Linked DNA regions of Anolis sagrei. The main gene of each other region encodes a partner of the protein of the gene in region 3 in a complex. Links are inferred from orthologs where the notes say so. Each region holds a gene or a part of one and is shown on either strand. Other genes may lie near its edges.

Region 1 (3,751 bases), about 6.8 Mb from region 3:
TATCAGTTTAACTTGCTGCGCCACCGCAGCCTCGTACCAAACTATAAATCCCAAGATTCCACAGGATTAGAGTGAAAGATAGGGAGAAGTTACTCTAGGGGCCTTCTAGGTTAAAGAGTTGACCTTAAATATCATAGCAGGAGTTGAGCATCCTTGATTCATAATTCTTGAAATATTCCGCAATCCAAAACTGTCCACAGATAGTGAAACCTTTCCTTTCTGTTGGTTCAGCTGAAAATGATAGGCCTTTCTTCTAGCATTTTCAGTATTTTAGCACAGTGCGTTAAAACCGGGGGTGCAAATGCAGAAGAGCCTGGCACATCCACCTTCACCGTCTGTTAGGAATTGTGGGAATTGAAGTCCAAAACACCCGGAGGGCCGAATTTTTCCCAGGCCTGGTGTAGATGCACCCTACCTTGCAGGCAGACGCCTCTGAGCAAATGAGGTTTCCCAAATCTTTTAAAACCCTCCTGCTTAGATACATCCTACCTCTGTTCACCCCTCTGGGCACACAGAGGACTAGGCGACTTAGAAGGTGCTGAACAGACTGCGTTCTGGCACCACAAGATGCAGAGCCAACCTTCAGAAATGGGGCTACAAAGTGGAATCCTCGACATGCGAGTGCAGAGAGGAGCAAACCACTGACCACCTGCTGCAATGCAACCTGAGCCCAGCCACATGCACAACGGAGGACCTTCTTGCAGCAACACCAGAAGCACTCCAAGTGGCCAGATACTGGTCAAAGGACATTTAATCAACTACCAAACTCACACATTTTGTATTTTCTCTGTTTATATGTTTGCTTTGTTCTGTTAGAAATGTAATATAATTGACTGGCTGCCCTGACACGAGAAAATAAAACCCCCAGTATTTATTTTTAAAAAATTAATTTATTACATCTGGCTCAGCCATAAGGTTTCAAATTTTGTGTGTTATTGCTTATATGTGAGTTATATTAATTGTATTGTTTTATTTGCTTACTGCGTTGTTGTTTAACTGATGTGTGGTTGGGCTTGGCCTCATGGAAGCCGCCCCGAGTCCCCTTGGGCAGGGTATAAATAAAGTTTTTATCATCATCATCATTACCATTGTCAATTATCTGCCAGCTACCCAAAGGCCTGGTCCCATAACCACATTTTCAATTTCTTCCTGAAGGCGAGGAGGGATGTTACTGACCTGATTTCGCTCGGGAGCGAGTTCCACAGGTGGGGGGCCATCACCGAAAAGGCCCTGTCCCTCATCCCCGCCAAGTGTGTTTGCGACAAAGGCGGGGCCGAGAACAGGGCTTCCCCAGAAGATCTTAAACTCTGAGGTGGGGCATAGAGGGAGATACGTTCGGACAGGTAAGCTGGGCCAGAGTCGTATAGGGCTTGAGTACCCAAAGGCCTGGTCCCATAACCACATTTTCAATTTCCTCCTGAAGACGAGGAGGGATGTTATTGACCTGATTTCGCTCGGGAACAACTTCAACAGGTGGGGGGCCGTCACCGAGAAGACCCTGTCCCTCATCCCCGCCAAGCGTGTTTGCACCAAAGGCGGGGCCGAGAGCAGAGCCTCCCCAGAAGATCTTAAACTTCGAGGTGGGACGCAGAGGGAGATACGTTCGGACAGGTAAGCTGGGCCAGAGTCGTATAGGGCTTGAGTACCCAAAGGCCTGGCCCCATAATCACATTTTCAATTTTTTCCTTAAGGCAAGGAGGGTTCTTGTTGACCTGATTTCGCTGGGGAGTGAGTTCCACAGGCGAGTACATTAAGACAGGTAAGCCATATAGAGCTTTATAGGTCAAAACCAGCAGTTTGAATTGTGCTCGGAATTGGACCTGCACAACCTCTGAGGATGCTTGCCATACATGCAGGCGAAATGTCAGGAGAGAATGCTTCTAGAACATAGCCATATAGCCCGAAAAACCTACAACAACCCAGTGATTCCAGCCATGACAGTCTTCAACAATAAATTGTCTACTTTTATGAAGAAATAGCCAAACAAATATTATTCTGTTTTAAATATTGTGCCATATTGTAATAACAATACATATACATGATCTGCTCACCTTTCAATGTATTTCCTAAGTGCCTATCAGAAAGTACCCCCTATTCTTTCCTGCATGCCATGAAGAGTGGAATCACTCTTATTCCATCACATAATAGAACTGTAATTGCATGGTTAGCCAATATGATGTCTTAAAACCCTTTTCCTTCCTGAGGGAGCGGCTACGTATTGTGCCTGCAGGGGAGTCGCGTGAGGAAGGAAGGAAGGCAGGGAGCCTGCGACAGAGGCCGCCATTCAGAGGAGGAGGGAAGCCATGCCATGTTCAAAGAAGCAGAAGGCCCGTTGCGAGGAGAAAGAGGGCGGCGGCGGGGAGTGGGCGATAACTAGGCCCGTGTTGCCTTCCCCTGGTCTTCCTCTCCTCTCCGTGCCATCTTATCCTTGTTTGAGCCGGGCTTACAAGACCAAAAAGGCTGCTTACCCGCGGCGGTGGCTTCTTTCTCCTCGGCCGCCATGCCCTCGCCGCTTCAGGGGTCGCCATGGCAACGCAAAGGCGCGCTTTGGGCCTTGCTGCTCCTGAGGGCAGAAACTGGGGAAGGAGGGGTTTCCCGCCTTTTTCTTCCGAGTAGGCCTCTCTTTGGAAACGAAGGCTCCTTCTTTCTTTTAGATACAACAGGCCTGGGCAAACTTGGGCTTTCCCTCCAAGTGTTTTGGACTTCAACTCCCATCATTCCTAACAGCTTCAGGTCCCTTTCTTTTCCCCCTCAGCCGCTTAAGCGGCTGAGGGGGAAAAGAAAAGGACCTGAAGCTGTTAGGAATGATGGGAGTTGAAGTCCAAAACACCTGGAGGGAAAGCCCAAGTTTGCCCAGGCCTGGGATACAGTGACCCCCTGCTTTATGTGTTTTTATTCATTTTAAAATAGATATATTGTTATGTCTATGTTTTGTCCTTCCAAGCTTGCAACATTTTTTTACATATGGGACAGAGGGATTGTGACTCTGAGGCTGAGAGAATGTGACTTGCCCAAAGTTACTCAATGGGCTTCCATGACCAAGGAAGGATCTGAACCCTGGTCTCTTAAGGGCCCATCCACACAGCCCTATATCCCTGAGTATCAAGGCAGAAAATCCCACATTGTCTGAGTGTGGACTCACTCAGATAACCATGTTCAAAGCAGATATTGTGGGAATTTCTGCCTTGATATTCTGGGATATAGGGCTGTGTGGAAGGGCCCTCTGACCCCTTTTCCATTGCCATATAATAATCCAGATTATTATTTTCTTTCTTTCTTTTTGTCGTGTCAGGAGCAACTTGAGAAACTGCAAGTCTCTTCTGGTGTAAGAGAATTGGCCGTCTGCAAGGACGTTGCCCAGGGGACGCCTGGATGATTTGATGCTTTTATCATCCTTCTGGGAGGCTTCTCTCATGTCCCCGCATGAGGAGCTGGAGCTGATAGAGGGAGCTCATTTACCTCTCCCCGGATTAGAACCTGCAACCTGTCGGTCTTCAGTCCTGCCGGCACAGGGGTTTAACCCACTGCGCCACCGGGGGCTATCCAGATTATCTGCTCTGGATTATACGGCAGCGTAGACTCCAGTATAATCCAGTTCAAAGCAGAGCATGTGAAATTATCTGCTTTGAAAATGTGGATTATATGACAGTGCAGAAGTAGCCTGAGGGCCCTTCCACACAGCCCTATAACCCAGAATATCAAGGCAGAAAATCCCACAAAATCCGCTTTGAACTGGATCGTCTGAGTCCAT
Region 2 (3,751 bases), on a different chromosome or scaffold from region 3:
GCACCAGTAAGGCCTTTTCGTGAACCACCATGAGAATTTCCGGGGGGGGGGGGGCTGAAGCCCCTCAAGCCCCCCCCCCCCTTGGCTACACATCTGCCCTCACTGTGGAAGAAGATGCAGATCAAGAATAGGGCTCCACAGCCACCTACAGACACAAGAATTCTGATCCTGGAAGACTATCCTTCTCGGCCAACGAGGGATCGCCTAAGTAAGTAAGTAAGTAAAGACTGTCAGAGTTAGGGCATGTCTGATGTCCTTGGGAAGTGAGTTCCAGAGTCGGGGGGCCACTACCGAGAAGGCCCTCTCCCTCGAACTACTCTTCATGATTTGCTAAAAAAGGTTTCAACCCTCCCCGAAATTTTTTTTCTGGCTACGGTCCTGGTAGAGGCTCCTTCTTTGGAAGCTTTTAAACAGAGGCTGGATGGCCATCTAAATGCAATTTTCCTGCTTCTTGGCAGGGGGTTGGACTGGATGGCCCATGCAGGGGAGGCTCAACCCATTACGCAAAGTAAGCATTTGCAGTATTTATTATTTCGATTACTTCTACCCCGCCCTTCTCACCCTGGAGGGGACTCAGGGCAACTTACAAACGCACAATTCGATGCCGGCATCACGTAACAGTAGTAAAACAATATAGCAGCAATTAACAGTTAAACAACAGTTCCTGCATTACAACAATAAAACCAATAAAACCAATACAAACCCATTACTCCTCATTAACGGTCAGCGTTCACCATCTCATAGTCTAATTTCCAATTCCACTTTGTCAGTCCTGTCAGTCCTAGTCGTCTGATTGTCCTTATCTAGTTGTCAGATTGCCCAAAGGCCTGGTCCCACAACCACGTCTTTACTTTCCTCCTGAAGGAGAGGAGGGATGTTGATGACCTAATTTCCCCCGGGAGTGAGTTCCACAGGTGAGGGGCCACCACTGAGAAAGCCCTGCTCCCCGTCCCCACCAACCTCACTTGTGATAGCGGTGGGGTCGAAAGCAGGGCCTCTCCAGATGATCTCAAACTCCGGGGTGGGACATAGAGGGAGATGCGTTCGGACAGATACACTGGACCAGAATAGGGCAGTGGTTCTCAACCTTCCTAACGCCGCAACCCCTTTATATAGTTCCTCATGTTGTGGTGACCCCCAACCCTAAAATTATTTTCGTTGCTACTTCATAACTGGAATTTTGCTACTGTTATGAATCGTCATGTAAATATCTGATAGGCAGGATGTATTTTCATTCTCTGGACCTTGGGAGTTATAGTTGCTGGGATTTACAGTTCACGTACAATCAAAGAACTTTCTGAGTTCCACCAGAGATGAAATTGACCCAAACTTGGCACACAGAACACCCATGACCAGCAAAAAATAATGAAAGCGTTAGGTGAGCATTGGCCTTGAGTTGTAGTTCACATATCTCCAGAAAGCACTGTGGACTCAAACAATGATAGATCTGGACTAAACTTGGCATGAATACTCAATATGCCCAAATGTGAACACTGCTGGGAGTTTGGGGGAAATAGACCTTGACATTTAGGAGTTGTAATTGCTGGAATTTATAGTTTACCTACAATCAGAGAGCATTCTGAACCCCACCGACGATAGAATTGGGCCAGACTTCCCACACAGAACTCCCATGAGCAGCAGTGCATCTTGGTGGTCTTTGGCGACCCCTCTAACACTCCATCGTGACCCCCACCCAGGGGTCCCGACCCCCAGGTTGAGAAACACTAGTATAGGGTTTTGTAGGTCAAAACCAGCACCTTGAATTGTGCTCGGAATTGAACCGGCAGCCAGTGGAGCTGACACAACAGGGGGGTGGTGTGCTCCCTGTATGACGCTCCGGTGAGTAATCTGGCTGCCGCTCGCTGGACCAGTTGAAGTTTCCAAACAGTCTTCAAGGGCAACCCCACGTAGAGTGCGTTGCAGTAGTATAGTTGATAGACCTTGACATATGCGAGTTGTAGTTACTGGGATATATAGTTCACCTACAATCAAAGAGCATTCTGAACTCCACCAATGATGGAATAGAACCAAATATGGCACACAGAACTCCCACAACAAACAGAAAATATATATCAGTGATTGGTTGTCGGGGGATACTGTTTGCTTACTATTAAAAATTACCTAGGGCCGCCTCTGGGCCCATGAGGTCTCTTCCAACTCTAGGATTCTATTATTCTAAATTCAATTTTAAAAGCTCTTCAAGATATTAGTTCAGTTCCAAAACAATGCCACACAAATACAGTACTGAAGGTGTGACTGGTAAGGAAACTCTCCTTGCGACTCTCTGGCCTAGCGGGATGGAGGTGGATCATAAGAATGCATGCCTACTAGGCCAGCACAGCAAAAAAAGGGAGGCCTTCCCTGACAACGTGTTAGACCTGGTTTCATCCCTCTCCAATTTCCCCAGGCGGCCCTTTTACCTCATAGATGTCAGGGATGGAGTGTTTCTTGAAGTAGGCCCTGAGTTCGGGGCCCACGCCTTGAAACGTAGCCATGGCCCCACGGAGAGGAGAGGAGGGGGTCCTCCTCCCGGCCTGGCCCCCTGAGGTGACCGTTTGGCGGTCGCCTAGCAACCGGGCTGCACGTGCCCTCGAGCCAAGCCCCGGGTGGTCAGCGCGCGCCGGCCCACTCGCCCTCGCCTGCCACTCAAACTGCCAGACACCAGAAGTATTCAAAAGGAGGAAAGGAGGAGGAAAGAATGTGGCAGCGCCATTCACACTAACCTTTTTATGTTGGGGACTAGCTGTCCCCTGCCACGCGTTGCTGTGGCCCAGTCTAGTGATGAGAAAGTAACGAGAAAGTGTTGGTTTCTAATATATGTAATGTCTTTTTTATATATATATACATTTTTATTAGTGATTGACAATAAAAAAGGGGGTTGAGAAGGGGGGAAGCTTGGGAGGGTTTATCTCTCTTCATATAAACATTTCCAGTAGATATTTCTTTCTTTTCTTCTTTTTCTTGGTAATGGGTCTATATGGATTAGGTTTCTTTATTATTATTGACTAGCTGTCCCCTGCTACGCGTTGCTGTGGCCCAGTCTGTTGATCTGGAAAATAAAGTAATGAGAAAGTATTGGTTTCTAATATATGTAATTCCTTTATGCTTGTGGGTATACAGTATTTCTGCTGTTTTTTGTCAGTGTTGATGTGGAGAGTGTCTGGTTTGCCCACCTTGGCTTTAAGGGTCCCTTTCAAATCTATGATACTATTTCTCTCTGTGTGTGAATCATATCTATATCTGTCTATCTATCTATCTATCTATCTATCTATATCTATGGCTGGATGACTCTTTGTCAGGAGGGCTTTGATTACATTTTCTTGCCCTAGTGAAGAGAGTTGGACTGGATGGCCTTAAGTATTTTCTGTTGCTCATGGGGGTTCTGTGTGGGAAGTTTAGCCCAATTCTATCGCTGGTGGGATTCAGAATGTGCTTTGATTGTAAGTGAACTATAAATCCCAGTAGCGACAATTTCCAAATATCAAAGTCTATTTCCCCCAAACCCCATCTGTGTTCATATTTGGGCATATGGAATATTCGTACCAAGTTTGGTCCAGATCCATCATTGTTTGAGTCCACAGTGCTCTCTGGATGTAGGTGAACTACAACTCCCAAACTCAAGGTCAATGCCCACTAAACCCTTCTAGTGTTTCTGTTGGTCATGGGAGTCCTGTGTGCCACGTTTGGTTCAATTCCATCATTGGTGGAGTTCAGAATACACTTGGATTGTATAAATCCCAGCAACTACAAC
Region 3 (3,751 bases):
CAACATTCAGAACTTTAGTTAAATTGTCATGCTTTCAGAAATCTGCTGATAAGAAATGCACTAAAGGTTGGATATCCTTTATCAGAAATGCTTGGGACCACAATTGTTTTGGATTTTGGAATACCTGTATGCAGGGCCGTAGCCAGAAAAAAATTTCGGGAGGGGTTGAAATTTTCACGGGGGGGGGGGGGGGGTTGAAATTTTCACGGGGGGGGTTTTCAAATTTTCACGGGGAGGGGTGAAATTTTCAGGGGGGGGGGTTGACATTTTTGCAAGGGGGGTTTCAAATTTTCGTGCGGGGGGGGGGGTTGCAACCTGCCTCCTAGCTCACGCTGAAGCAAAGAATACAGCAGGGGCCAGAGCAGCCTTCAATAGCCTGCAGCTCCGTCCCTGTCAACCATCTCCACCAAGTCTGGCCTCCTTAATGAGAGCATTCAACACACAAACCACAATTTGGTTGCTTCACTACATCGGCTATTGCTGCAAGTAATGACAGTGTGAATAAATTGTCAATATTTGCTTGAGATAGTTCTGGAGGGACTCTTAATTTTTTGTATTTCATAGACTTAGCAATGGGATTTGGTTAACCAGTTAAAATTCATGAGTAAACCAGGTTTTTAAAAAAATCTGAAACATTTGGGGGGGGGATTGAACCCCTAAACCGCCCCCCTCGCTACAGGCCTGCCTGTATGTACATAATGAGTTATCTTGGAGATGAGTCCCAAGTCTTATCAGAAAATTCATCTATGTTTCATGCACACCATATACACATAGCCTGAAGGCAATTTTATGCAATATAAAAAACAATGCCCATGAAACAAAGTTTGGACAGTAAACCATTAGAAAGCAAAAAAAAAAAAAAAAAAAAAATGTCACTACCTTAGCCACCCATGAGGACAATTTTGGAGTTTTGCAGATTATGTGTGCTCAAATTATATTGCTTTCACATTCTTTAGGCCCCATCTACAATGCCTTATAATGCAGTTTGAAACTGCATTATAGAATTTGTATAGACCCATATAATGCATTTAAACGGTATTATATAAGTCTTCTCTACATTCCTCTACAATATGCTATAGTTTCAAAGTGTAGATAGGGCCTAGGAATGAATATAACCATATTTTCTAATGGGAGCAAGATAGTTTAGGGAGAATAGTTATTTCACATCAGTTTTCAAGTGAGTTGTAATATACAGAAACAAACACAATCTCAGTAGCATACTCACATAGATTTCCATTAAAAGAGAGTGTACTAATATACAATCAAGAAGCTGCAACAACATATATAAATCACAACTGAAATGGAGAGATGAATATCATGTTTCTTAACAGCAACATTTACTGATTTTTAAAAAAGAAAACTGAAAATGAAAAGTTGGCCTAAACTGAAGTGTTTAAGGATAAATAGGCTCCTCAAAAAGAAAAGGTTCAAGACTATACAAAATATAGCTCAGAAAAAAACCACAGTATGTGGAAGCATTACCTAATTTATTGCTGCCTACAGAGACAAAGGGCCCCCTGGTGATGCAGTGGATTAAACTATTGAGCTGTGGAACTTACTGACTGAAAGGTTGGCGGTTTGAATCCGGGGAGCAGGGTGAGCTCCCTGCCTCTGTCAACCTAACAGTCTGAAAACATATAAATATGAGTAGCTCAATAGGTACTGCTTCTGCGGGAAGGCAACAGCACTCCATGCAGTCGTGTCAGCCACATGACCTTGGAGGAATCTACGGACAACGCTGGCTCTTAGGCTTAGAAATGGAGATGAGCACCACTCTCTGGAGTCTGACATGACTAGACTTAATGTCCAGGGAAACCTTTACCTTTACTTTACCAGAGAAATAGATAATCTAATAGTCTGCGGACTCAGTGTGAGAAAACTTGCTGCTGGTTTACCTGGCTGATCATGAAAACCTAACTGCATTCTGCAGTTATTGCAGGCACACTTCAGTTAGCAAAGTAGATGTGATCCACAGACATTACTTCTTTAGCAGAAAATTTAGTTCCGGGGGCAGAAATAAAATGGAAAAAAATGAATTTCTATTTCACAAAAAAACCCCCCAAAAAACAACACTCTTCATTTCGGGGTTTGTAGATCAGTGGGGCCCAGGACCTCGCTGGCCGGGCATTTTAAAGGCCCCTCTCTAAACTACAAGCTTCTGCAGGAGACAGCCACAGGATTTACATTAATGTAATTTGACCCCAGTATGGCTCAATGCTAAGGGATCATGGGAGTTTTAGTTTGGTCAATCATCAGTACGCTACAGCTCCCGTAATTCTATAGCAATGTGTCATTTATTTATTTATTTATTTACAGCTTTTATATTCCACCCTTCTCACCCTGCAGGGGACTCAGGGCAGATTACAGTGTACACATATATGGCAAACATGCAATGCCAATTTTTGACATACAAACATATACAGACATACAGAGGCTATTTAACTTTTTCTGGCCGCCAGGGGAGCTGTCGCTTTCATCGTCCATCTGCGACGCTGATGAAGCACCTCCGCATTCCTGCATGCTTCCCCGCTGGAATGCTTTGCTGGAGTCTTCTTTATGGCCTCATAAATCAGTTAATTTAGCCTCCCCAACTGTCTTTCAGGTTGCAAAGGTCGACAACAGGCTACACACAATTGGTTGGAAACCCACTCATGACCTTTTGGTCAGAGTGATCTTAATGCAGCTGACACTCAGCCAGCTGCGCCATAATCCCGGTTATGGCTGTTAAGACGGCCTAAACTGCATCCATTACAGTATAGATCAGGCATGGGCAAACTTGGGCCCTCCGTGTGTTTTGGACTTCAACTCCCAGCATTCCTAACAGCCCCAGCCCCTTTCCTTTCTCCCACTCAGCTGAAGCAGCTGTGGTGGGAAAGGTCCTTGAGGTCCTTCTCTGAATTCTATTGCATCCTCCACTCTTTCCCTGTAGGGACCCAAGACTCGACATTTCACTGGCCTGAACGTCCCAGGCCCCTCTTTCCTGGTCCCCCCCACCCTCGAAACAGGTGTCCCCTCAGGTTTCATTCGCCCACCTGGCAGTCTAGGCCGCAGAGCAGTCCGTTGCTAAGGAAACGAGAAGCGTTGCCAAGGGCGGGGCTTCACAGCGTAGACCACACCCCTTAGAGGCACGAGCCGAGGGTGATGTCCAATCAGCAGGCGGGAGCCGCCCATTGCTTTTTTTTCAGAAATGGGCGGGAGGAACCGCCTGGGGGCGGAGCTTACGGCAAGGTGTGTGCGATAGCTTGGAAGCAGGAATTTCTGGATGAGATGAAACCAAGCCCCGCCCCTTTCCCTTGAGAGCGCCTCCTGATTGGCTATTCTGTTGGCACCCTGAGTGTTGTTTTTTCCTAAGAAGGAGACATCATCTTCTTGATGTGGCTGTTAAATGCAGGTTGAGGATGCATCTACACTGTAGCATAAACGCAGTTCAACAGCACTTTAACTGGCAGGGCTCAAATGCAATGAAATAATGGGGGTTGTAGATCTACAAGGTCTTAAAGGGGTGTCAAACTGCATTAATTCTACAGTGTAGATGCACCCAGAGTCTCCTTTATCCCAAATGTTTGGGTTCCACAATGGGAGAGTGATCAACAGTCTAACAAGCAATGAGTAATGAATGTGCTGGATGACTTGTCTTTGCCTCCTCCTCAACTTTCCATTTGGAAGGACATTCTGTGTCGATTAAATATAAACACTGAGAATGTGATGCCTTGATTGACTGCCAATGAGCTTTATGACCTGAGTGGAACCC

Evidence for each region.
Region 1: TCTE1 (region 3) and EFCAB2 share a complex: the UniProt entries of both Homo sapiens proteins name them as parts of the nexin-dynein regulatory complex. The link is inferred for Anolis sagrei from reciprocal best matches to the Homo sapiens genes DRC5 and DRC8.
Region 2: TCTE1 (region 3) and FBXL13 share a complex: the UniProt entries of both Homo sapiens proteins name them as parts of the nexin-dynein regulatory complex. The link is inferred for Anolis sagrei from reciprocal best matches to the Homo sapiens genes DRC5 and FBXL13.

Annotation. Positions count from the first base shown.
Region 1 is NC_090021.1:54,903,956-54,907,706, forward strand, and holds the start of EFCAB2 (dynein regulatory complex protein 8), read right to left. Parts: upstream 2,535-3,751; 5' UTR 2,503-2,534; coding exon 2,469-2,502; intron 1-2,468. UniProt on the Homo sapiens protein: Component of the nexin-dynein regulatory complex (N-DRC), a key regulator of ciliary/flagellar motility which maintains the alignment and integrity of the distal axoneme and regulates microtubule sliding in motile axonemes.
Region 2 is NC_090025.1:85,412,294-85,416,044, reverse strand, and holds the start of FBXL13 (F-box and leucine-rich repeat protein 13), read right to left. Parts: upstream 2,556-3,751; 5' UTR 2,496-2,555; coding exon 2,421-2,495; intron 1-2,420. UniProt on the Homo sapiens protein: Substrate-recognition component of the SCF (SKP1-CUL1-F-box protein)-type E3 ubiquitin ligase complex.
Region 3 is NC_090021.1:48,126,087-48,129,837, reverse strand, and holds the start of TCTE1 (dynein regulatory complex subunit 5), read right to left. Parts: upstream 2,697-3,751; 5' UTR 2,430-2,696; intron 1-2,429. UniProt on the Homo sapiens protein: Component of the nexin-dynein regulatory complex (N-DRC) a key regulator of ciliary/flagellar motility which maintains the alignment and integrity of the distal axoneme and regulates microtubule sliding in motile axonemes.